Arabidopsis thaliana: one gene and its partners. The protein of the gene in region 3 binds, or shares a complex with, the protein of the main gene of each other region. Each region holds a gene or a part of one and is shown on either strand. Other genes may lie near its edges. The genes, in order: MED9, AT4G09070, SWP and AT2G22370.

The links.
Region 1: SWP (region 3) and MED9 share a complex: the UniProt entries of both Arabidopsis thaliana proteins name them as parts of the mediator complex.
Region 2: SWP (region 3) and AT4G09070 share a complex: the UniProt entries of both Arabidopsis thaliana proteins name them as parts of the mediator complex.
Region 4: SWP (region 3) and AT2G22370 share a complex: the UniProt entries of both Arabidopsis thaliana proteins name them as parts of the mediator complex.

Annotation. Positions count from the first base shown.
Region 1 is NC_003070.9:20,552,046-20,555,839, forward strand, and holds MED9 (mediator of RNA polymerase II transcription subunit-like protein), read right to left. Parts: upstream 2,210-3,794; 5' UTR 2,130-2,209; coding exon 1,656-2,129; intron 1,587-1,655; coding exon 1,524-1,586; intron 1,439-1,523; coding exon 1,358-1,438; coding exon of another isoform or gene 1,279-1,357; coding exon 1,220-1,278; intron 1,134-1,219; coding exon 1,076-1,133; 3' UTR 860-1,075; downstream 1-859. Other genes in the region: AT1G55070 (F-box and associated interaction domains-containing protein), read left to right, coding at 1-588; AT1G55090 (carbon-nitrogen hydrolase family protein), read left to right, coding at 2,812-3,005, 3,167-3,472, 3,554-3,777. UniProt on the Arabidopsis thaliana protein: Component of the Mediator complex, a coactivator involved in the regulated transcription of nearly all RNA polymerase II-dependent genes.
Region 2 is NC_003075.7:5,800,681-5,804,311, reverse strand, and holds AT4G09070 (TATA-binding related factor (TRF) of subunit 20 of Mediator complex), read right to left. Parts: upstream 2,005-3,631; coding exon 1,991-2,004; intron 1,892-1,990; coding exon 1,480-1,891; intron 1,154-1,479; coding exon 920-1,153; downstream 1-919. UniProt on the Arabidopsis thaliana protein: Component of the Mediator complex, a coactivator involved in the regulated transcription of nearly all RNA polymerase II-dependent genes.
Region 3 is NC_003074.8:1,291,840-1,300,172, reverse strand, and holds the start of SWP (RNA polymerase II transcription mediator), read right to left. Parts: upstream 6,376-8,333; 5' UTR 6,137-6,375; coding exon 5,927-6,136; intron 5,370-5,926; coding exon 4,344-5,369; intron 3,929-4,343; coding exon 3,831-3,928; intron 3,755-3,830; coding exon 3,580-3,754; intron 3,502-3,579; coding exon 2,745-3,501; intron 2,661-2,744; coding exon 1,645-2,660; intron 1,540-1,644; coding exon 512-1,539; intron 420-511; coding exon 1-419. Other genes in the region: RALFL21 (RALF-like 21), read left to right, coding at 7,448-7,765. UniProt on the Arabidopsis thaliana protein: Component of the Mediator complex, a coactivator involved in the regulated transcription of nearly all RNA polymerase II-dependent genes.
Region 4 is NC_003071.7:9,499,947-9,503,871, reverse strand, and holds AT2G22370 (mediator of RNA polymerase II transcription subunit), read left to right. Parts: upstream 1-1,661; 5' UTR 1,662-1,793; coding exon 1,794-1,835; intron 1,836-1,982; coding exon 1,983-2,082; intron 2,083-2,172; coding exon 2,173-2,230; intron 2,231-2,307; coding exon 2,308-2,664; intron 2,665-2,750; coding exon 2,751-2,853; 3' UTR 2,854-3,088; downstream 3,089-3,925. Other genes in the region: AT2G22360 (DNAJ heat shock family protein), read right to left, coding at 3,413-3,925. UniProt on the Arabidopsis thaliana protein: Component of the Mediator complex, a coactivator involved in the regulated transcription of nearly all RNA polymerase II-dependent genes.

The DNA of each region.
Region 1 (3,794 bases), on a different chromosome or scaffold from region 3:
GAGGAGTTTGATAGTCAGCATCAAGTTCTCACATTCGAGACTGGAAGGAGAAATCTATTTTGGAGGAAGATCCAATGTCGCAGACATTATTATACCCACCGTTATCATAAGGGGATATGCATCAAAGGTGTTTTGTATTATGCAGCAACCTCTATGAAACCTATGTTGGGACCTATGATCGTTTGCTTTGACGTTAGGTCTGAGAAATTTGGTTTTATTACTTGGAAACCTCCCTCTCTGATAAACTACAAGGGTAAATTAGGTTCAATAAATAGTAATGATAACGATTTGGTGTTGTGGGTTTTAGAGCATGGCCAGGAACGTAAATGGTCAAAGCATATCTACGTAAAGCCCCTTCAATGGCCGGAGTTCAATGGAATTGATGTAAACTTTTTAGTTACTAGTAAAGGTGAAGCTGTATTCTGCCCAAATCACTATGATCCACAAGTTCCTTTTTACCTTTATTACTACAATCTCGAGGAGAACATTGTGGTAAGAGTAAGAGTTGAAGTTCCAGAATCTCAAGGTTCTAAACGGGTTTTGTTTCATGCTGTTCCAAACTATCTAGAGAATATGAAGCTTACGTGAGTGTTTTATTGGGTTTTTTTTTTACCTGTTTAAGACTATTATCATGATTTCAAAATAGTGAGTAGGGATAGATTAGAAGTCGGTGTTTTTATTTCTTTTTAAAAGACTAATAGATGTGGCTTCAATGGTGTTTTGTTTTATATTTGGAGGATCATTGTGGAATAATGGTTGAATTTTCCATGGTCGCTACAATGCTTTTTCTACTCTGTTCTGAATCTAAATCACAAAACCACTCACTATGTTCAACAACTACCTGGGCTTATATCGTTTTTGGGTTGAGCTTTCTGTTGCATGTCCCACATACAAAGATTTTGGTTTGGTTTGATGCAGACAAAACACATTATGCATTGTGATCTATTTGTAATCCGAAGAATGAATTTTCTTGAAGAAAACCACATTCTCTTTATTATGTGAATCAAGATTGGTTTATTGATAACAATTATTGGTCTTAAGTAGCTAAACAGTTGCTGAATCAAAATATGAGAAACTAATGCTCCATTGTCACAATCTCTTCAATAGATTTCCTATACTCCACAATCAAATCCCTGACCAGAAGACATTTAACAACAAAAGAGTAAGAGCACGATCACAATCTGATCAGATAAAACATGATACTAACAATCTAGCTAACCTTCTCTGTTGAAGCAATTGCTCACTTTCTTCAACATTTCTCTTTTGGCCATCAACAGTCTATAAAACACAGAGAGAGAGAGAGATCCATAAGAAACAAAAGATTAAACAGAACCAATACAGAGATCCAAAATGTTACCATAGTTTTAGATCCTAGTGATCCTGAAATCGAATTCAGCAACTGTTGACACTTGTCGAAATGGCTATTCAATTCATTCACCTGCAAATCCCACAATTTCAACATCATCCAATAAGAAACCCTAGAAATCTCAAAACCACTTTAAAAGACTTGATTTTTAACAAACCAGGGCGTCAGAATTCTGATCTCGTGTTCCATTTTCGATCACATCAGCTAATTTCTCCACCATCTGCGTCATTAACACGAAATTAGAACCCCCAACGATTCCAATTTCATCAATTTTCTTTGTTTCTCTTACCGGATAGAGATGGAAATGAGAAGCTAAAGACTGATGCTGTTGAGGAGTCTGCACCGGAGTTTGAACCAACTGTTGTTGTTGCTGCGGTGTATGCATCATAGATTGAGGCGTGTGAACCATCGTCTGTTGCGGCGGAGGTGATTGTAACGACTGTGGCTGAAGAGGAGGAGATTGTAACAACCGTTGTTGTTGTTGGAATTGCTGTTGTTGGATGAAGTGTTGCTGTTGTTGGAATTGCTGATATTGTTGCATCTCTTGTTGTTGTTGTGGCTGGAATTGTTGTTGTTGCTGCTGCGTCTGTTGTTGTTGTTGAAGATGAAACTGTTGTTGTTGTTGTTGTTGTTGTTGTTGTTGTAATTGTTGTTGCTGGAGGAATAGTTGCTGGTCATGATTCGTCGGTGTACCGAAGTTACCTTGCGCCTGCACGTTTGGGATCATCGACCAATTACCTCCTCCTCCTGAGAATTGATCCATTTTTTCTCCTTCCGATCTCGCTAATTCTCCTTCTCGTCGCCGTCGTCGTCTATTAAAACTTAAAAGAACGAAGAAGAGACAAAAGTGGGAACTTAAACGATGTCGTGTTTTGACCAAAAAAAAAAAAAAATGATGTCGTGTCATGATAAAACGAAGTTGTTCTCAGTTAAGGTTTTGTTTGTAATTTACAATCGTAAAACGCCGTCGTTTCAGTATCAATCTCTTCTTCTTCTTCTTCCTCTCAAACCGAATGTTCTTCTTGGTCGGTCACAATCTGTTCTGCACGAGCACTGCACAATCACTTGGAGTCTGTGAATTTCACATCTGAAAGAAATACAAACTCCCATAGTTTTCAATTTTCACGATCTCCGAATTTCACGACTTTGATACTTGGTTTCTTTGCACATTCACGTAAGCTCCAATTCTTCCTTCTCTTCTTTTGGCAATTGATTCACATCGAATAGTGTTGCGTTGACGAGTTCTTCGTTACAGATATTGTGTATTATGGCTGTTAAAATTGAATTTGAATTGTTAGTATTAGCAAAGTAATACAAAGTTTGTTCCTTTAACTAATTTAACCAGCTTCTGTTCTCATGAACAAGTTTGTGCCTTAGATAAGTCAGATTTTTTACACTACTTGATGTACAGTAAATTTACTTGTCTTTCTCTTTAGGCGACGAAGATGAGGCTGTTGAAGGTTGCTACGTGTAACTTGAACCAATGGGCCATGGATTTCGAGAGCAACATGAAGAACATCAAGGCTTCGATCGCTGAGGCAAAGGCTGCTGGTGCTGTTATCAGGCTTGGACCCGAGCTCGAGGTCACTGGCTATGGTTGCGAGGATCACTTCTTGGAACTCGACACTGTCACTCATGCGTAAGCTTCTATTTTTAGTTTTCTATTTCGATGATGAATGGCATGAATGACTTGGTACTATCACTTTAGATGATGGAATTAATTTCTTTTTCTTCTGAATTTAGTTATCGGAATCATGTTTAACCGTTTCTTCTTATGTTCATGTGAATATCTTCTTTCAGGTGGGAGTGTTTGAAGGAATTGCTGCTTGGTGATTGGACGGATGATATTTTGTGCAGCATAGGAATGCCTGTGATTAAAGGAGCAGAGCGTTATAACTGCCAGGTTCTCTGTATGAACAGAAGAATCATCATGATTCGACCGAAAATGTGGCTCGCAAACGATGGAAACTATAGGGAGCTACGGTGGTTCACAGCTTGGAAGCAGAGAGAAGAGCTAGAGGAATTTCAGCTCCCCATTGAAATTTCAGAGGCTTTGGAGCAGAAATCAGTCCCTTTTGGTTATGGTTACATCCAGTTTATCGACACGTGAGTTTGGATAAATGCTTCCATTTCAACACTGTCAATGATTTTGTCTGCTTAACTGTATCAGTTATATTTCCTTATCAGGGCTGTTGCAGCTGAAGTCTGTGAGGAACTGTTTAGTCCACTTCCTCCTCATGCCGAGCTCGCATTGAATGGTGTTGAAGTATTTATGAATGCAAGTGGGAGTCATCACCAACTTAGGAAACTAGATATTCGTCTGAATGCTTTTATGGGGGCTACTCATGCTCGTGGTGGGGTGTATATGTACAGTAATCAACAAGGATGCGATGGTAGCCGCTTATACTACGGTATGTTTGACAACCCT
Region 2 (3,631 bases), on a different chromosome or scaffold from region 3:
TAAAAGCCAAATCCTAAGCTAAACTCAAAGCAACGAAAGCAAAATTCTGAAATCTACTACTACAACGTGAACGAATCAACAAGGCAACACCAAAAAATCCACTGACTCAGATACAAATTTCAGTCTGGAATCGTAATCAAACACATGTTTAAAACCAAAATCCAAAGAAAAATAGCTCTCTGTAGTGATTTTGGTAGTTGATTTTGATCTTATCGCTTGTTCTTTGCGATTCAAGTTTTGAAATCAGTACAAAGAAAGAACACGAGAGAAACAAGCGATTTATGTACAATTTCTCGAAGATCAAACTCGATAATGCTTCACTCTCAAGAGGAATTAACAAAATTTCAGGTTACAGAAGAAGAGATTCAAAGCTACGTACCTACACGAGTCTTCTAGAGGTTGACGAAGAAGACGAAGAAGAAGAAGAATCTAGATCTGTCTCTCTCTCTACTCGATTTCTTCAAACTTGTAGCTCTCACACTTCTTTCTCTCTATATTGTTTGTTACTACCGGTAAGCTCTGTTTGGAAGAAAACATGCAATCGCAACCGCCAAAACTTCTTTGCGTTTTGATTCTGCATTTGGGATTCTTCTCATTTATGGGCCTTAAGCCCAACTCAATGACTGACCCAAATAACTAACACTAAGCCCAATCGTAATCCAACATTTTCGCTTTATTTATGCATTTTATAGACACAAGTGACCAGTAATTGAGTTTAGGGTCAAAAGATTCATAAAGTTTTCACAGTCATAAAACAAACCAAAAAGTTGGTAAGAAACTGAATTCACAATCTGCTCCAATCTCAAGTTTACAAATTGGTCTTCCAACTTTTTAAAACTACCATTTGTTTTTCAATCCTTAATGACTTCTAAAATCAATGATACCACAAAAACTCATAAAAGTCTTTGTTGTATTATCTTTAGCCTCTCCCAGCTTGAATTGCTGCCATCAAATTAGCCATGAAGAAAGCATATCCAACAGCGGTATGTTGCGGAGTGTAGTTGTCTCCAAGTCCAAACTTTTCAAAGTTGAGTTCTTTGTTCACAAACTTACCCGGCAACGACCTTTTCGACATAGCTTCTTGCCATATCTCCAAGAACTCCTCCATCAATTTTTTTGCCATTCCCATTGATGATATAGGAAGATACTCCACCTAAATAGTACACACACATAATTATAGGTTTCAAATGAAAGTAGTGCATAATAGCATAATGGCATAAGTTGATAGCACTAAAAATTCGTATAATGAAAACTTGTTGCATGGAAAACCGTAGATTATGCAAATTTTCTTAATTGACAAATTTTCTGCCTAATCACATTAGAAACCGTCATTATGTGTGTTACCAATCATAGCTAATAACCTTTAGTTACTGAGTTACATTACAAACTCCAAATTATGAATTAACTAGAGTGTTAGATAATCATTAACATTGATTATTAATATATCTCAACGTACTCAAAAGATATAAAATTTGTTACCTCCATGACTACGCCTCTAATGGTCTCAGCATGAGTAGGAACAACTTTACCAACTCTCAAACGAAAATCCCCAAGTTGATACTCAAGCCCTTCAAAGTAAAACGAGAGTTTGCATTTGTAAGACTGAAGGCTCTCCATGATCATTTGAATTGAAGAATCTGCTTCCACGACGATCCTTTGCGACCTGATGACGAAATAGTACTTATCTGGCTCCTCCGGAAGCGAAATTCCTACAAATTCACGCGGGAACTCAGCTTGATTCGCCTGATCTTGCAACATGGGTTTGTAATAGTTGAGAGTGGCTTTCCATGTTCCCTCTTTGACGCCATTGAGACTCTCTATGCTTTGTGTTACTTCGTTTAGGATTTGGCTGCTAAATGTTGATCCCTGATTTGGTTGCCAATGCAAAAGCCTGGAAAAGTATTCCCCCAAAGAAATTTGAAAAAAGGTTAACGTATTATAAAAGAAATTACAATAATGGTTATTTAGTTTATGTAATCATCAAACCTACCATTTGACGGGCATGGCTAATGGAGGTACAACAAATTTCACTTGACAACAAAATTAAAAAAAAATGATCTCTATTAATTTACAATAATACACAAACAATAATATCTTATATAATATAGTTGTATTCAGATATATAATTTACCAAAAAACAAAATGATAAAACTTTACAATAAAGCAAAAAATTATTTAATCAAAAAATACTTTTTGATAGAATTTCAATCAGTGTTCATAAGGAAAATACATTTAAATGCTCAAATGGAGTTCATTTTTTTAATCATTTCTTTCATTTGAAATAGAACGTGGTCTATATGGAAAGGAAAATTTATTTTTAAAAGTAATTTACAGACCAAAAATAATACATATGCATCAACTTTGGAATCATAATACAAATTTCATTTTTTAATAAATAATTATAACATAGAGAATAATTAGATATTTTAGTGCATGTGCACAATTACATAAGTGTACTCACCCTTATCAAGATAAAAGGGAAGAAAATATAAATTCTTATAAGAAAAAAATAAAGTAACTTTTGACTTTAAATAAAAAGGAAACAAATCTAAGAAATTAATGTTATAATTAAATTATTTACCAAAATTAATTGAAAAATAAGAAACATTTTTTTACAAAAACTAAAGAAATTCATTAGATCTGCTATGAGTATCCGTTTGGGATCACACGTTCTGTGATAGTAGTAGATCGACAACAGATTAACTAAACGAATCAAATATGAAATATATCACTTCTTGAATACAATCTAAATATAAAATTCATACATCTCGGATAAACAACTCAATTCTGCTTCTAAGTATATTTAGTTTATAAAACGATGCTTTTTATCTTTATCTTATCTAAATCATTTTAAAAAGATGAGTTGAAGGCATAGTAAAGACTTTTAGGCTTAATAATCATCGAGCCATAAAAACAAAATACAAGATTAGATTGCGAGAAACACTTACCGATGAAAGAGATTTCTGGTGATGATCTTCTTGGGAATACGTAGTATAACGAAAAATTAAGACTCGTACACTGCATTATATAGAGAAAAGCATAGGAGTTTGTTTGTTTTACTAAGATAAAACGACCTCGTTTAAACTACCTCATTTAAAACGACTTCGTGTAAAATTATGTGTTTCTTAAAATGACCTTGTTTTTAAAAAGGTTTTCTTAGGAAATGAGTGGTGAAAACATGAATGAATCTAACCGAACTTATCCAAATTCGAATAATACTAATAGTTTAAAATCTTATAAATAGAATTATTGGAACTGAACCTTAAATCAAATTTAAATTTTATGAAACTGAACAAAATTAACTGAACGAATCAAAATTCCTAATGTATATATCTCATCTAATCATCTAAATAAAAATAAAGGTTTGATTCATGTTTCTTCTCATCTTTCGTTCATTTTTTATGCATAGTCATGAAACATTAAGGTTTCATTCCACCCAATGATATAATTTTTTTTTATCCTAGTACACTCAAAAAATGAAAAATTTATATAGAAATAAATTGGAAATTGATACAATTATATAATTGAATGATACGCTTTTGCTTAATACTAGTCAAGATGAAAAAATAAAAATAAACCAATAAAAAAAATTGAGCTGAAAATAGAGGAAAAATAATTACTTAGTTGATAA
Region 3 (8,333 bases):
TGTTGTGCGGCCGGTCGTAATGGATATTGCTTTTAGCTGCACAATTGTTGTCTAAATCTGTACCAGAATGGTTCTCTAGACATAGCTCGATTCGAGGTCTCTGTGCAGGAGCAATCTCTCCAGCTTGTTGTGATTGGGATAATCCTTTTTTCCAAGCTATCAGTTTCAGAAACTCTCTCAAGACCGATATGGGTAACGTGAGGAGTGTTATGAAAGAGGCAACTCTTGAGGCATCATACGGTTCTGATGCGACACGGCGGCTGAAATAATCGCAGATTTCTCCAATCTCGGATTGGGTTAACTCCTCTTGAGCCGCAGCAGAAGAACCATTTTGTTGTGCTTGGTGATGGAATCGCCTTACGCTAAGGACTTGAAGAAGGAGCTGAACTCTATGGACACTCACCGCAAACACATAGCCACTGCAAAAACAAAAACAACAAAAAAACAAAACAATAGATAAGCTTAAGCATAATCCTTCAAGATTGAGCATAAGTTTCTTGGTTTGGCTTACCCGACAAAGAAGCGTAAGGCTGGTTGTTCTTGGTCTAAATTCAAGAGAGCGCCTTCGTTATCCTTCAAGATGGAACCCAAGATCTCTCTTAAGAGATCTGGTAACTGAGCAAATAGCCACAGTACTCCAAGATATTTAAGGATACCACGCAAAACCTTTTTAAGAGCCACAAGAGGAACCCATCCTCCGCCATAGCCACCGTCATCACCTAAACCGATTATCGCTGTGTTTAATTCACCTCTTACATGCGCTGGTACAGCAGTGCCTGGTGTTCTACGCACAGGCAATCCTGAGCTAACCACTAAAGATCCTGAAGCAACACTGGCTACTCGATTCATTGCAGCTCTTGCACTAGAAGGGGAAAAGTTAACTCTGTTCACACCGTTAACAGTTGGGTTTCCACTGTTGGGATTTGTTGCTCCTTGGCTACCTGTCAAATTTGGTTCTAAACCGTTCAATTCTTGAGCAACATGCTCCATGATGAAAGGTCTGAATTGGGGACATGGCAAGGAGCCTCCAATAGAAGCACCACCCTTGGGTGGAGTTGCTGGCTGCAACCAGACTTGATCTCCAGCAAAACATCTCATGTCTACTGCAAAACGTTTACGGTATATGATCCTTATCCAATAGGGTCCACGGAGTACTACAGAGACATCGATGGGCAAGAGAGAGCTTGGAACGATGCCAGGTCCGCTTCTCCCTGCAGCTGCTAGCATTGCAACTCCATGGAAACCTCCACCAAGTGGGCTTGGAGCAGAAGAAGCAACAGTATTTCCTGAAGTTGCTGAGGCAGACTGGCCAGTAGCATTAGGAGCTGCTAAAGTTGAAGGGGCAATGATTCCTTGAGTTTGTTGTATCTGATTTGATTGTCTTGAAGACGCTGTAGCAGGTACAACAGGCATGCCAGTGGCAGTACTAGCTCGGGCAGGGCGAGTAGCGGCAGCTAATGCATGCAAAGGCCCAGCAGTAAGGCGAATGCAATCCAAAAGGGATTCTACCTCTGCTCCGTTTATGAAATCCTCCAAGAACTGTACAAGAGTAACTCACGATGAGAAAAAGCATATATTTGGAACTCTTATAATAAAAATATTTCCCATGAAGAGAGCAAATGTTAAGTCCTGCGAACTACTCACCTTTGTATGTGGCCATAGTTGGTCAGGAGAGACATGCATGGTGCATCCATCTTTACCTGATTCCCACTCGACAACAAAACGCGCCAAAACGCCTGAACCAAAGCTAAACCACAGGCTTGTTAATCCCACAGCCTCAATCTTGAAAGCTCTCCACCTATCTACTGGCTCACCACTGCCTTTTCCTCCAGTAGATCCTTTCATAGTGGAATTAGCACTGCACTCTTCTGTTTTTTCATCTGGCTTTATGCCAAGTAGTTTCCGCATACCAAGGGAGAACATTCTAGCATTTGAAAGCCTTTGTATGTCGGCCACAAGCTTCTTTATACTATCGGCTTCCACAGACTGATAGCTCAGAACAACACCTTCAGGGTCATAACGGATATGAGAATCAACATCAGATGAATTCGCAATGTGAACTCCAGAACCCCATGGTGTGGTTTTACTTCCCTTTTGAAGTTCCCAGAGATCCCTAAAGTGTTGGTCATTTATTTTCACATCCCAACACATGCTTCCAGGTCTACCAAGCTGCAAGCATATATGTTGCCAGGAATCATTTTGAGCAAATGGAAGCCTGAACCATATATCTGAAAATGCATCTCTTAGTCCCATTTCCTCAACATATTGAATATCCAATGCCTCCATCTGACTAGTTAGTTTGGCATGCTTTATGGACAACGAAGAATGCCTGACCACATGGAGAAGAGCATAAACAAAAACGCTTGAAGGTGCATTCCCCTTGTTTGCTTCAGCTATGAGATTCCCATAGCTGCATCCTATAGTTTTTGTTGATGTTGACACGGCAGTGGATAAGGTCTGTGATGCAGGGCTCCAACTCTTCACTAATTCACTCTGTACCAGTTCAGAGGTTTTTCTTCTCTTATTGGGACTAGCAACACCTTCCACTACCTGGAGGGATGGGATCAATCTTAGCAAATCTGAAGCTGAACGTTTCCGGGGCTTCTGATCTTTCCTTAACAAAGGACCAGCAGATGATGTTGCAAGATCAGCTGTTTGAGCTGCAAATAACGGAAATTTTTGAATTCTAATATTGAGAAAGTTCTATGAAGGTAAAAAAAAAGGCTATGGAAAAATGTTCTTACATAGGGGAAGAGGTGACAATGAGGATTCAGTGACCAGTCTAGAGCCTGACTCAGAGACTCCATTCCCAGTAGAGAGGGATGGAGACAGTATCAGGGATAACTCCTGGTCAGAGTTAGAGATGGCTATCTTCTTCATAGCTGAACCCTTCCCAGGGGGAGATGATAACATATTATAAGAGCTAGATTGTAAGGGACCCTGTCGATTATACAAGGAATCTGAATGATAGCTAGTCAACATTGGAGCTTTTCCATGGCCGGTAACAGCAGAGAGATTTTTGGGAACTAAACCATGTCCATCAATTGACATAAGAGCAGATGTCACTTTCTGAAGTCCAAACACTCCATCTACGACACTAGAGAAACTCAACTGGCTTCCACTCATTTCTGTCAAAGCCTCGTCAACCAATCCAGGCTGACGGTGTCCAGATGCTTGATTTATGCCCTCAGCATCCGAGAATGAAGATACAAATTTAACCACATCGGATGTAATCAAGTTAAGATCATCTTCGAGAATCCGTATCTGCCCTATATCAATTTTCTTAGCTCGCAAAATATTGCTTGGATCATTGAAAGACTGAGGTTTTCCCGAACCATCCATCTGAGTTTCCAGTAATTTAAACAATGGTGTGAAGTCCTTTTCGAGCTCCATTAGCAAAAGGTGAGAGCTTTCACAGTCAGGGAATCCCAAAGTCAGAATGCTTGACCCATCCAAGAGGCTTTTAGGAACTTTGTTTATACCAAAACCATGTTCATAGACCTGCATTAAACGCAAACGTCAACACTCCCAACTCCAGAGAGTGAATTTGAACAACAAGCTGAGGCAAACAATTACTACCTCAAGACCCAAAAATTTGCCAATAGCAGCAAAAAAATGCAAAATACTTTTGCTTCTCAAGTTGATAAAGGCATCAACTGCAGATATACTTCCTTGGTTTAACGCATCTTCAAATTCCTCCAAGATGGAGGAGGTCAAGATACTCTTGGATGACTGTAGAAGAAACCGACCAGTCCTGCAATCAATAACATATAGTGAGAATAGTCAGCTAAAATAAGATCTCTCCCAATACATAGATGAAGATATCATACCTTATATTTATCCCCAGTGTGAAAAATGAAGATCCATAGGCTCGCACTCGTAAGACCTCTGGCTCTACTCGCTCTTTAGAGTCTACCATGTTATCTCCCTAAAAGAATGGCGAAAGAGAAAATGATCCAATTAAATTCAATTAGTTGTTGAGACAGCAAGAGAAATATGGCCTAACTATACTAGCTCCCCAGCCAAAAGAAGCTAGGCAATAGGCCATGTGAACTGCAAAAATTAAACTACTTTTTCGAAAAAATATAAATTATCGAAACCTAGGTTCGGCCATCTCTGAAATTTAAATTTGCGATTATTAATGCTTAATCTCATGGTCTATAGCATGAAAGCTATGCATTATTTAGCAAGGGCTATGTGTCATAAACAGAAATCTATCTATTGACATGCAAGTGACATACTAAATGTCCAACTAGTGTAAGTAGCTCTGACCTGGGAAAAAGTCCTACAACTTTCAAGGAACAAAATATTCAACATTAAGCCGAAAACAACTCTTTCTTTACCTCAATACCAGGCTCATCCAGGAGGGCTTGAAGGATCACATCACTTGGAGTTCGACAAATACGAGTATTCCTCAAAAGCTCTTTCTGAATTTCAAGAAGACGGGTATATCTATTACAGCATATAGCTTTAAGCAGAAGCTTCTCCACGTCAATGCAGCTCTGGTCGAGAGAAAACTCAGCTTCCTTGCCAGTAAGTGGGTCAATTACAAATGTGCTGTGAGAACATTTAATCTGGAGATCTGACCCTGGTTCAATTTTAATAAATGGGCCAGAATTTTTATCAGAATCTGACCAGTAAAAAAGTTTCATTCCTGGCGTTCGAAGACTAACAGAATCTGCCTCTCCTTCTTGGTTCGCTGGTGTGGTACCAGTATCTGAAATTAAGTCGAAGCGAATTGCATCTTTCCATCTCCCCTGCAGAAGAGCTCGGACCTGTCTTATGACTGTGTCCATGACAATGGCAACGCACAGCTCATGGAGCACCGCATATAAAATTGTGAATGGATTTTCTGCCACGGACATTCGACGCTCTAAATCATCTCCAAGGATATGCCGTCTTGTCACTTCAAGTTTAATGGGGCCACTTCTTTCACCAACAAGTAGATCCAAATGCAATATCCGCCACATGGATAGGTGCCCTCGGTAACCAAGAGTAACAAGAACTTTAAATTCCCCATCGACAGATAAGGTAACTGTACCTTTAGAAATTTTCACCTCTGTTATTTCTTTTGGAAGTGTGATTTCAAGCAGTTTGGAACGTACAAGTACCTCCAGCTTTCTTAGAGCTGGTTTCTGTTGATGCTCATCCAAAGAGCTCTGCATGCCCACATCATCTAGACACTTTGGCAGGCGCTGATAAGAACCTGTCAGCAAAATCTCAACAGCAGAGGGAACGTCATAGACAGGAGCGCGAGCTTGCTGTAGACCTTCATGCATAAAAAACAGCGAATCCGCAGCTTGTGTGAAGCATATGTCATGAGCTGATAATGTACTCCCAAGGTCTTGAAAGTAGTTTATAAGAGGAACCTGCAGCCCAGGAGGTTTAGCCAAAAATGAATAAATAGCTCAATAAATTTTCGAATACTTACTCTGTAAAGAAAGTGAACACAAGCAAGCATCAACAATCTATGAAATCATAATTTTTTAAAATGGAACGTTGATCTGAAGTAAACTACCTTGAATTTTTACAGAGACACTACAGTCATAAATTTCTTAAAATATGCAGAAATAACAGAAGTACATGATAACATTGATAAGCCTACTTGGAATGTGAAGTTCCATGGAATTTAAGAGACAAATCTAAACTTTAGTAGACAAGCAACGTAATCCAAACAACAAAAACCCATCAAGGACAAGATCACACAAAAGGATCTTCCAATTCCATTCAAAGTCTGTAAATCATCCTACAAACATCAAAACTATATCCACGGGAAATGTGTTTAAAACTAATAGATCATGCAATCAACAAAACCAAACCCTAATCTTGCAACATATCCAATTCCAGTCCAAGAAAGCTTCAAACTTTCACTTCGACCCACAGACCCAAAACGTTAATACTTAGCGAGAAACAGAGAAAGACAAACCTGTTTACACCACTTGGCGAGGGCATTGAGGCGGAGCATCCGTTGCTGAGTCTTAGCGACATACTTAAGGAGGCTAACCTTCTTCTCAGTATCAGAAAGCTCCGTCGACTTAGACTTATCCACAAGTTCCTTAAAAGAAAGGAACGATTCCTCTGCGGCTCGACCAACAAGAGCAGAGAAATCCACCGTCTGTTGCCCTAATTCCGCCATCGCGGAGAAAGAAACAAAATCGCCACCACCCGATTCAGAAACTTAGGAGATCTCACGATTCGTAAAAAATTAGGGTTCTTATCCTCCGCTTCCCCCACCACGACGACAAAAGCACAAAGCTTCCCTTTTCCAGCAACCGGATTTGATTCGGACAAGAGAGACAGAGAAAAAGGGTTTAAAATTGAAAGGGGTCAGGGAAGAGTCGAACGCAAAACGTTGAACGGAAGATGAAAAAAAAAAAAAAAAAAACGATTTTTGGAGAAATCGGCTGAAGAAGCCTTTTTTTTTAACAGACGGCAAAATCTAATTTTTGTGTGGGGTCTCTCTTTTATCCACGTAAGCAAGTAAGTCACTATTAAATTATTAATTAGACATTTTAACCATCATTAAAAAGGTTAATTACAAAATTATCATTAATGTACACTACACTCTTAAGTAGAAGATGTGTGATGTATTAATGTATATATGGTGAATAGTGTGTATAACAATTGGACGGTGAAAACGTTGTTCCGAGTTCCGACAATAAACGGTGAATAGTAATACTGTAATAGTGTATAACAATTTTTCATAAGGAACCACAAGAAACACTTATTTGAGATTTTGGTACGAGGTTTATTTTTCTATGAAGCAATAGTAATACTGTAATAGTGTAACGCATGTAGGAGTAGCAAGGCCTTCTCACTTGTCCAACTAATTTATGTTGGGCGGCAAATAAAGAACCAGCATGAATTTTTATATATACTTTGAACCCAATACCAAAAAGCCCAGCGATGTGTTCATTCTAATAGTTGTCTACAACCAATTTTGACACACTATTTTGGTGTATTTATAATTATTATTAGTTTATGATATTTGCATATTATTGATGTAAAAAAATTTCTGTAAGAAAAAAGTGCTTTGTTTTCACCTCCATGTACTGGAAGAACATGAAACCTAATATATTGATATACTATATTAGAGTACATAGAACTCTTTGACCAAAAAAAAAAGAGTACATAGAACTCAAATATTGTTGACTACTTTGGCTATAAAACTGTTTTGTATTAGTATTACTATGACCACAACATGCATATCTAAAAGCTAGTTTGACTACTTTGGCTAAAAAAGGACTATATCTATAATACATGTATTACTAAAGAATTCTGTAGGTACATTTTCTACCGGTCAATTCAACATCCTATTGTAATTTCCTTTTAAGTAAAAGTTGTATAAGACTCTTTCACAATTATTTATTCACTATAAATACCACGAACTGTACCATTCTTACCAACAAATATATATTTCTCCCACACACATAAATAAACACAAATCATGAGCAATATGAAAATAACAAATAGGTTTATGCTAGTGGCAACATTCATAGCATGTGTGTTCATAAGCAGCATGAACATGACGGTTGGAAAAGTAATTGGGTATCCAGGGTTGAAGCCTGATCTTCCTTGTGATCATCATCGGTATCCTTCTGCATGTGCACCCTCCGAACAACCAGTGAATCCTTACAGACGGGGATGTAGTAAAATACATAGATGTAGACGCGATTCACCCCCTGCACCAATTTCTAGAAAAATGTTAATACGAGGTCAATTAATTTATAATAATGCATATAATGCATATATCCAATATCCATGAATAATAAATTTATGGGTTTGGTTGTGTTTAAGCCATGTTGTTCTCTACATCTACACATTTACCTTAATATTTTTCAGCATGTATTATTGTATTACGATATATACAGTGGTGAAATCTTGTTTTATCATTCAGTTTTGTTCGATTTAAGCTCCTTCTTATTAATGGTAAAATAAAACAAATCAGATCACATATATTCATAGCATTTAAGGACCTAGTGTGTCACACGTGTGAACCTGTAATGTTTGTTATACACAACAAGACAATGATTTTTGACTGGGCCCAGCCCACACGAGGGTCCTAACATCTCTCAACAGGGTTGGTGTTTTTGGGCCCAGGTGGACCCTTTTATCTCATTCTCCTCCTCCTCCTCACGTTTATATGAAATTTTTCACCTATATAAATTTAATCAATTTTATTTATATAAAATTCTTGACATGTAGATTATAAGATTAAGATGAAGTCGTTGTCAATTTGGACCTTCAATTTTTTATGTCAGATTCTTCCATCGTAATCATGCATGGGGGCATGAACATGATGATGTTTAGCAATAAATGATGTTGATGATCAT
Region 4 (3,925 bases), on a different chromosome or scaffold from region 3:
GCAACACTGTAACATCATCGAGTTCGAAGCAATATTTTATCCATTGTTAAATCAGAGAAGATAGAACTAAGATCGGAGAAGGATATAGTACCGTTTCTGGCCTGCGATGTCCCAGATCTGAGCTTTGATGTTCTTATCGTCAATAACGAGCGTTCGAGTATTGAAATCGACACCGAATTGTGGCTTTGGAATCCATACTGAATTCGTCTCTTGTGAACCGAGCTCGTAGCTGTGACTTCCCAACCGCTGAATCTCCGTTCAAAACAACCTTGAATACGTAGTCAACCTCTTCTTCAGCCATCTTCTTCTTCGCTCGCAGTCGGCGATCGAACGACGTCGATTTTCTCGCTGTTTTTACACTCTCCGGTGGACTGAGAGATTAAACTAATCGTAGGGTTAAAATGTAATCCTCTACGGTAGAGAGTACTAGAGTGTATGGTAGTCAAAGTCGTCATACGTGGATTTGATTAATGATTGCTACACGTGTATCGCATTGATAGGTTCTCTTGCTCGGATCACTAATACATAAACTTGGATACAACCCAAAGCTTGACCTATTTTTGTTGAACACCTTTTTGTTTTTATATTTTTCATCCTCTGAAACAAGTCCATAGACTCTTGTATTAATATATCCTGATGATATTTGGTTTTACATTTGCATCTTGTATCATTGTAAACAATTCATAAGCCTTCCCACAAAAGCATGCTTGGCATTTGACAATTGGCAATTCATAAATGATGCATTATAAGCATAAATATCAACTTGGATATTCAACTTGGCCCGTGTATTATGCTACCTCTACAAATTTGGTGAGGTAGGTTAAAATGAGGCCGGTTTGAGTTACCGGTATATTAGACGAGCATTAACATGATTACACACTTGAGGATATTATTGACGAATGAAGAAACTAAAATGGTTTAGTTAATGCAAAATTGAGGATTCATTCGTCTATTGAAATAGAGAAGAATTGTTTGAGGCTAAAATAAATATATTTACATTTTTCCTATTCTCCTCCAAACTTTTCGTAAACATGGTTATTTGACTTATTTTTGAACTTTTTATCTAATAATTTAAAGGATTGTGGTGATGTAGTGGCCACTTAATCTACACAACATCGCAATAATTTTGACAAAATTTTCTACATATTTCTTGTCAACAATTATAAGGAATTAACACATTCTACTTAGTAGACATTTACAGTAATCACAACCAAGATGAAATAACCATATATAAATATCATTTGCTATGTTCATAAACTTTATCGAAACTAGTTGACTTCTTAAAATGCCAACTAATTAGGTTAGGGTTCATGAACTTTTTAGCAAAGATAGCACAAACTAAATTCTATCTTCAACCTAACTAATGACGGTTTACTCCGGTTAACCGGTGGTTATGTTCTCATCATGCGGCCAACTAAGCTAATGGGCTATTTGGTGATCACTAATCAATGACCGAGATGCACTAGAGTTTTTATTATGATCGAGTTCCCAAAAAAGGGGCAACAAGAAAAAACGAAATGGCCTATACAGGGATCGAACCTGTGACCTTCGCGTTATTAGCACGACGCTCTAACCAACTGAGCTAATAGGCCATCTTGCTTTATCTACAGCTAACTACTATATAACAACTACACAAGTGATTCTAGTAACTAGCTAAAATTCTCCGGTGTTAAAAAATCTCAGATTCGCTCCCGAGGACGATTTAGGAAGCTTTCGTTAGTTTTTCCAATTTCGGATTTGGTCTTGTTGAGAATATATTTACGATTTTAATTGAGAGATTTTGTGATAGCTCAATGTCAATGGAGTGTGTGGTTCAAGGAATCATCGAGACACAGGTTCGTTTGTATTTTTTGATTGACGAACAAATCCCAAGTTTTTCGAGTTCATGGATCAGCTTTTAGCTTTCTTATGATGTCCAATTGATAAACCCTAGGCTTGAATTTTTATTAGAATTTGATTAGATTTTCTACTGGATTTTGCAGCATGTTGAAGCTCTTGAGATTCTTCTTCAAGGTCTTTGTGGTGTTCAACGCGAACGTTTAAGAGTTCATGAGTTATGCTTAAGAAGCGGCCCAAATCTTGGTAAAGCCAATTCCTTTTGTTAAATTCAGAAACTTGAAGCTTCCTATGAATCATACATGATTCACATTTGTGAAATCTTCACTTTTTCAGGAGTTGTGTCATCAGAAGTTAGGCTATTATGTGATCTTGATCAACCCGAACCCACATGGTACAGCTTCTTCTTGTTGTTGTTGTTGTTGTATATGTTCTTGTTTCATTCAAAGGAAGCTAATTTAAGAACCATAGGACGGTTAAACATGTTGGTGGTGCGATGAGAGGTGCAGGAGCTGATCAAATCTCTGTTTTGGTTAGAAATATGATTGAAAGTAAAGTAAGCAAGAATGCTTTGCGTATGTTCTATGCACTCGGTTACAAACTAGACCATGAGCTTCTCAAAGTCGGATTCGCCTTTCATTTCCAACGGACTGCGCACATAAGTGTTTCTGTATCTTCTGTTAATAAGATGCCTAAAGTTCATGCTATAGATGAGGCTGTTCCTGTAACACCTGGTATGCAGATTGTTGATGTAACTGCTCCTGCAACTTCTGAGAATTACAGTGAAGTCGCTGCTGCTGTTTCATCTTTCTGTGAATTTCTTGCTCCGTAAGTTCATCTGATATATTTTACAGCACCTGTGATAGTGTCTTTGATATAAGCTTCATCAGTGATATGATTCCTTGTGTTTTCAGGCTTGTTCACTTGTCGAAACCGTCTATCTCCACGGGGGTTGTGCCAACCGCTGCTGCGGCGGCTGCATCTCTTATGTCGGATGGAGGAGGTACTACATTGTAAGAAGTTTGAAGTTAAAAACAACTGTTCTTGTGTTCTCTCTTGTTAGATCTTTTGGTCCAATCTAGTCAATTTTCCAGATTACACAATGGTTGTGAAATCTTGTGAACCATTAGAGTTAAGTATTATTTAATGAGAATCAGTAAGGGATCTTTAATAAATATTCTTTATAAATCACAACTTGCATATGATCTTTGCTCTTCTCTCAACCTTTTGGTATTATGATGTTTCATTGTTGTCACTTGTCAGTAGATTGATAGTTTATGAAGCTTCGAACATGATTAAAATAATGTGAATGTCTTTGTGGAATTACATACTATTTTATTTATCATTCAATCACTAATAAATTCCAATTTGAAAGCCTATTAAAACCTAACATATTAAAAATTTGAACCACAAAAAAATGAATTCTAAAATTCTTCCATTTCCACAACAATAATCATCTTCCTCCACTTGCTTCTTCTTTTTTCAAGAGCCATTCTAAATATCACAAGCCAGAGTAGAAAAATGTATATGTATAGAGAGATTCATAATTTCAATGTCAAAATTTTCGTGTTTCTAATCATCTACTGGTGCTATTAGCAGTCTTGTTCTTGCTCATATCAGCAAGCTCTTCAATAAGTTTTTTCTCCTCTTTGCTCAATCTCTTAGGTATCTCCACTTGTACTCTCACCAACTGATCTCCTCTCATATTACTCTTGTTCAATACCGGAACTCCTTTTTTCGCCATCACAAGCGTCGTGCTAGGTTGTGTCCCAGCTGGAACTTTCAAATCTACTGTCCCATCCACTGTTGGTACTTTCAGTGTCGTCCCTAAAATCGCATCGATATACGATATCTTGCAAGTGTAGAGAATATTTGTATCGTCTCGTTTCAAAATCGGGTCTGGGATAACTTCTATAACAACAAACAGATCGCCTGGTGATCCGCCTCTCTTCCCGGCATTGCCTTCTCCTCTCACTCTCAACCGGCTACCTGAATCAACCCCGGCTGGTACTTTGAGACTTATCCGTTTTGTCTTCCTCACGCGTCCGTCTCCAGAGCAAGTACCACACGGCGTCGAGATCTCTCCAGT